Bombyx mori: one gene and its partner. The protein of the gene in region 2 purifies or fractionates together with the protein of the main gene of each other region. This does not show direct contact. Links are inferred from orthologs where the notes say so. Each region holds a gene or a part of one and is shown on either strand. Other genes may lie near its edges.

Region 1 (3,443 bases), on a different chromosome or scaffold from region 2:
TGGGTCGCGATTCCGATCCGGTAGTAGATTCATTCGCGAAGCAGTTGCTCTTGAGTTGTTAGATCTTCGCAGGCGCTCGGGCAGTTGTTAGCAAATCCCACCCCTCCTGGCTGAGCCTTTGCTCGCCCACCTGTCCTGGTGAAGCTGGAAAGGCCTCCGGGCAAGCAGTAATCTTTCAATCATAAAAAAAATTATTTTTTTGTCAACGCCCATTATAGAGAAGGAGCGGTGTATTACGAGTTGCTAAATCGATAGAAAAAAATATAATTCATTAAATGGTGACCCCCCAATAACCGTTTCACGGCCCCCACAAGGGTCGCGACCCCTAATTTTCGCTTCACTGCTTCAGGCCATGATGGCTTAAAATTTTGCACTAATTTTTTTGTTGTTGAATTCTTATTTAAATGGCACAGTTATATTATATTGCTCGCTCACCTCACGCCGTCGGCCATGACGAGACTGAAGCCCAAAGCTCGCGAAACGCTTTGTCAATCTGACCTTTATATATACTGCGACATCCGATCCACTTGCAAGCTTTCAAGCGTATGAAGGATTGTGACAAATATAATAATTTTATTATTTAGACCTTAAAAAAATGACGTTTTATATTCACTTCGCTATTAAAGTGTATTGCATTTTTTTTTATTGCATAGATGGGTGGAGGAGCTCACAGCCCACCTGGTGTTAAGTAGTTACCGGAGCCCATAGACGTATACAACGTAAATGCGCCACCCACCTCGAGATATGAGTTTAAGGTCTCAGTATAGTTACAACGGCTGTCCCACCCTTCAAACTGCATTACTGCTTCACGGCAGAAATAGGCAGGGCGGTGGTACCTACCCGTGCGGACTCACAAGAGGTCCTACCAACAGTAGAAACTTTTTTGGTAACTTGGCGAATAATTGGTGAATACCACTATTTACTCTGCACTACCTTTGGTTGACTGGTAGAGAATGTCTTAGGCATTAAGTCCGCCAATGTAAATTTTACATGAATTGTAATAAATAAAATATAATAATCATGAAAACTCTTACCCAGGTTCGATCAAGACGAGCAAGACGAGATCGTCGATCTGACCGCCGTGACGCTGGAGGAGTACCCGGAGGGCGGCGCGCGCGGCCCGGCCCGCGACGACGGACACGTGCTGCACCTCTAGCGCGTCGCGCGCCGCACTGGGAGACGACCGCGGGATAGAGAACGCTCTGATGACGTAAGACATTATTCAAGCCGTCATGACCGAGTCACGGGAACCCTCATACACATATAGAAGAACATTATCAGAATTTTAGTGAGCCAGTCAAATTTGTTTAGGTTTTTAGTTGAAACATTTGTTGAGTCTCTATATCGGGCAAGGATTAATAAGACACGTGTTCAGTTAAGTGACTTAACGTATTTGGGATTACAACCTAACGTGCTATCGACAGCCCGACAATCCCGAGACTGACGTAGCATCATTGCAATATAATTACCGCTAACACATGCATATAATTATTAGTTGCTGTGAGGACATTTGTGGTCCCTACACATTTAAAAAAAAATGTGAGGGATACGTGATGCTTCCGTAAATAGATAAACGGAACATATGGCTCTGATAAAGTTTGATTTTAACGTTAAAACTCTTATCTCTGCACTAAATCGATATTTGTATAATACCGGTAAGTTTGTATTGTTTCTCTATCCCCGAAACTAAACTCTGTTCCATACGAAACAAGTGTCAAATTCCTAAAAAACATTCCATTTAGGATACGAGTGTGTTAAATTTTAATGGTGCGTATATTTTCCATGTGAAAATTGTAAAAGACAATAATTATTAGGGGAGGTCTTATAGCTTGTGTACTTAATCATTCCGTTGTATGCCTTATATCGTAAGTGATAAGTGTCAAATTAGATAAAACTTAGTTGTCACAATTATTTAGAAGCAATAACACGTTATTGTTTTAAGTTTTTTTTTTAATTATTATGATTATTAAAAAACATTTATGAAATAGAAAATGTATATTATTATAAGTTGGATAATATGTTAATTGAGTGAACGAATGGATTTTTTGTCATTCTGTAACATTCGCCATTCACTCCGAGCGAATGTTTATGTTTTTGATTGACCAGTAGGATTCATAGATTATAGACCCGAGAGATCACGGTTTAGAAACTAGGCAAGTTTCTAATTATTCTGAAATCGATTAAGTAAAGTATACTCACGAACGCTCAAGGTGGCCTGGGCGATGGCACGAGCAATGAAAAGTACTCCAGGCCTATTATCGGCCTAGTAAGTTAAGATTTTCACATATCAAATGTTCAATTGGCATGGAATATAATAATGAATTAATAACATTGTTAAATGGTGCTTAAAAAACACTTCGAAAATGTCCAAATCGTAAAATGTAAAGCTAACTTTAACTATTGTGTCATAAAAAATAAAAATAAAAAAGATTAAAAATTCTTGCTATGCGCTTGAGTCTTATAGAATTATTATAAATTGTCAAATCAAAAATATCGATAATAATGTTTAAATATATTTAAATAGTATTAAACATAAGTGCCTTTATGACAATATGTTTTCCATTATTACAAATAACATTCCATTGTAACTAATTTAAAAAAAAAAATTTGTGAAACACTATTTGTTAATTTTATTACAACGTCAATTATGTTCCTGATTATTCAAATTGAAAATTTTCAAAGACGACGACCTATTTAATAATAAAATGAAAAGAAACTAAAAATATATTCAACAAACAACAAGAAATAAATAAAAAATGCATTTCAATATCGCTAGTCTATTGTTGTTCCTGACGTTTGGAGAAATTGATTTTGTCTATGGTCTATCGTTGAAAATATCGCACATATTATGGTGCTTTAATATTAAAGTCACTTATGCAAAAAAAAATTTACAGTGAACTGATTATGAGAAATAATTTTTTTAGTTATTAGTTATACCTAGTGAGACGAAAGAGATGTTTGCTTTTACTGATGAAGTTTGTAGTTTAAATATTATGATTTTATTTCTATAGCCTAGAAGAACTATATACGAATTACATATATATACATATATATAGTAAGATGTTGAATTTTCCAACGTTTCTCCTGAAAAATTACATAATTTGCATAAGTGACGTTATCGCATCGTATGTGCGATATATCAATTAATATTAATATAACAAGGACATAATATAACGAAGGGTGAAAATGTATTTGGCTTAAGCGACATTTTTGCAACTTTACAAGAGAGCCATTTATAGGTTGAAAAATAAAAAAAAAAAATCTTGACAAAAAAACTTTTTTAGCTATTTGAATGGAGAACACTTTATTGAAGTTCAATTAAAAACATCGAATTGTTGATGCGAATGTCAAATAAAACTTTTAATTATGTACAGAGATTTATTATTATTATATCGGGTATTAACCGAGATGTCGCTTAAACCAAAAAGCCTTTCACCCCTTCA
Region 2 (3,662 bases):
TTATTTTGTGTATTAACCGTTCCCCTAGTTCTGTGAATCTAGTATAACCCCTTGAGGTTACTAAAATACAATACTAGGCTACAATTACTCTGTTCAAGGACATTTGTGTATGAAGTGTCGCTTATGGTTGGTTTTACGACTATGCGAAATTCAATAACAATAGCAGAACTTTTTTTGCCCATCGACCCCTTGATGGCGGGTATTTGAAGACGTTTTGTCAAATCGCCAGAATATTAATTCGAGTTTGTTATTAGATAAAATAACGAAAAAGTTTAAAACTGTTATAATTTTTCCTACTCAAAAATATGTAACAAAAAAATCGATACTTAATTTTCAGCATCATATATTTTAATGTGTAAACTGTCAGACTCAAATCGCTAACACATGGAAGAGTCAGCCATGACGCTAATATAATTAATATGAGTGGCACCCAACGAATGCTGACACGCTCATCAATCAATAACTTCACACTGCCGTTACTTATCTTATACCTTTAAACGAGCAATTCTTGTATATTAATAAATATGTATATAATCTGAAACTCGGAAACGGCTCCAACGATTTTCATAAAATTTAGTATACAGGGTATTTCGGGGGCGATAAATCGATCTAGCTACGATTTATTCTCAGAAAATGTTGTTTTATTCGCGTTTTCAATAATCAACTCTTCCCGACATCTATTGGCGAATAATAATACTATTTTTCTTAATTGAGGGCGACTAACAAGATGGCGTTATCAAAAAAAAAAACGAACAAAGCTCGGTCACCATCTAGTAGTTCACTTGAAATACAAGCGCTCGTCTTGGTAAACACACTTCACATTTCTGAAAACAAAGCACCGCCCGGCGACTTCCGTGATAATTCCTTATCGTTGCAAAGTTTCTAACTGTAACCGGTTTCTCGTACAAAATCGAGCTTTTTTTGCTTCCTCTATGCATGTACTAGATATACCTAGGGGCAAGATTAAGCTGATTGTATCAGATTTTGATATAATAACCTATTTTTTTATAATTTTTTTATTGCTTCGATGGTGGATGAGCTCACACACAGCCCACCTGGTGTTAAGTGGTTACTGGAGCCCATAGACATTTAGCACCAGTAATTACGCAAATTATAATTTTGCGGGTTTGATTTTTATTACACAACTAGCGACCCGCCCTCGCTTCGCTTCGGAAACATTAAAACACACATGAATCCAAAAAAATAAAATATTTTTTTTTAAAAAAAAGTAGCCTATGTTCATCATGGACAATGTCGGCTTCTAATGGAAAAATAATTTTTCAAATCGGTCCAGTAGTTTCGGAGCCTATTCGAAACAAACAAACAAACAAATCTTTCCTCTTTATAATATTAGTATAGATGTTATTCCTTCACCGTGGATATTTCTCAAGAACATATTTCATTGAAAAAATTTGTACCTGCCGGCGGGATTCGAACACCGATGCATCGCTACATACAAATGCACCGGACGGCTTATCCTTTAGGCCACGACGACTTTCTGATCCCTATTGGTTATCGGTCTCTTATAATTTATTGTATCCTCAGACAGTCCAGCATGGCTTCCCGCACAGAGCGTCAGCACTCGCGTGGGATCCGCTCCTCAGACTCGCGGCGCTTGGTACCGCCACCGGAGCGCTCAAGGTCTACGGCAGACCAGGCGTCGAACTCTACGGCCAACACACCAATTACGAATCGATAGTCACACAGATACATTTCATCACAGGTAAGCAAAGAAAATAAATACCTTCATCCTTCATTAATCCTCTTCGGATTATATATCGCATAGCATATAACTTCGAGACCATTGCGATTAGTTTATTCAATCGAGTAAGGCTTATATATGATCAACTAGAAAAAATCCAACGCGCATAAGTAAATCTACAAAAATATATAAAAAAGTTTTAAAATGAATTGAAATGAGTCATTTGAGTTTGAAAATGAGTCATTCATTACTCTGCTCTGCCATTCATTTTTTTCTAAATTTATTATTATGGTGATAGATATAAACTTCGAAAAAAGTCATAAGATGATAATATATTCATATTTATGGTAAAGCAAACAAAAAAGTAAATTCATCTTTGACAATTCCATCATTCAAACTCAAACAAATTGTAATACTGTAACTATCTCTGCTGAGCTTCGTACGTGACGCACCTAGCTAGTTTTTACCTCTTAAACTTCTAAACTTTTAATATACTTTTCCTTAGAAGCAATGGAAACTGTTTTTGACATTTACTATCATTAATTTACTTCTAAATATTGTTAAATTATATCGTTTCACAATAAGGATACTGTGACCTTGCATGGTAGTTGTCCACGTAGTCGTTATACCAAGAAAATACCACATTCTCGATCAGCCGCTACCTCAATTAACTAAAATTACTATTCTCTAACCCAATGCCAATTGTACTTTTTTTTTTAAACATGCGATTTTACGTGGTATCACCATATTTGTCCGCATCATTATGACGCAACGCCCAAATGAAGCTATTCTCGTTCGGTTTACAGGGACAGGCCGTTTGATATCATTATGCGACGATAACAGCCTTCACTTGTGGGAGATCAACGAGAAATCTCTAGTGGAATTAAAGTCGCATGTATTCGAAGGTAAAAATAAAAAGATATCGGCCATATGCGTAGAATCGTCAGCGAAGAACGCTTTACTGGGAACCGAAGGCGGCAACATTTACTCATTGGATTTGAGCGCTTTCACGATCTCGGAAGATGTCATATACCAGGATGTCGTTATGCAGAAGTGAGTGATTAATCTAGATTTGTTTTTAATTTTAGTTTCCTGAGTCTATTCAATGAGGTCATGCTGATCATTATTGTGGTCAGTTTATTTGTACCACAAAGCTACTTTGGAAGACAGTTCAATAGCTATCGCATTGCTCTTCACACTATGATCTCAAATTTGCGGTGCATAGTTTTTTTGTCGAAAGTCTTCGATATTTTTATTATCAATCTGTAGTAGGTACCAATTTTTCTAATGAAATACGTACTCAACCAATGTTCACGATTGACTTCCACGGTGAAGGAATAACATCGTGTAATAAAAATCAAACCCGCAAAATTATAATTTGCGTAATTACTGGTGGTAGGACCTCTTGTGAGTCCGCGCGGGTGGCTACCACCACCCTGCCTATTTCTTCCGTGAAGCAGTAAAGCATTTCGGCTTGAAGGGTGGGGCAGCCGTTGTAACTATACTTGAGACCTCAGAACTTATATCTCAAGGTGGGTGGCGAATTTATGTTGTAGATGTCTATGGGCTCCAGTAACCACTTAACGCCAGGTGGGCTGTGAGCTCGTCCACCCATCTAAGCAATAAAAAAAAGTAAACAAACTTGGTTCTCTCTGATATTAATAGTCAAATCTTTATATTCCAGCTGCCCAGAGGATTACAAAGTTAACCCAGGCGCGGTGGAGTCTGTATACGAACACCCTAAGACTCCTACACGTATTCTGATCGGATACAACCGAGGACTGGCCGTGCTTTGGGACCGGGAGGCTGCGGCTCCCACACATACATTTGTTTCGAATCAACAGCTTGAAAGCTTATGCTGGAATGACGATGGTAATTATTTAATTTAGATAGAATAATGATTATTACAAATTATGCAGAAACTTAGTTTAAAATGTTGCATATAAAAGTTCAATAAGCT

The links. Proteins that work in one complex are often made in the same cells at the same time.
Region 1: the proteins of lethal(2) giant larvae protein (region 2) and partitioning defective protein 6 purify together in Drosophila melanogaster (affinity purification with western blotting; 5 studies listed by BioGRID, with this or other methods). This does not show direct contact. The link is inferred for Bombyx mori from reciprocal best matches to the Drosophila melanogaster genes l(2)gl and par-6.

The regions. Positions count from the first base shown.
Region 1 is NC_085126.1:2,348,486-2,351,928, forward strand, and holds part of partitioning defective protein 6, read left to right. Parts: intron 1-1,038; coding exon 1,039-1,156; 3' UTR 1,157-3,443.
Region 2 is NC_085123.1:3,351,692-3,355,353, forward strand, and holds part of lethal(2) giant larvae protein, read left to right. Parts: intron 1-1,545; coding exon 1,546-1,723; intron 1,724-2,508; coding exon 2,509-2,755; intron 2,756-3,386; coding exon 3,387-3,574; intron 3,575-3,662. UniProt on the Drosophila melanogaster protein: Essential for the development of polarized epithelia, for cell polarity associated with asymmetric cell division of neuroblasts during development, and for oocyte polarity formation.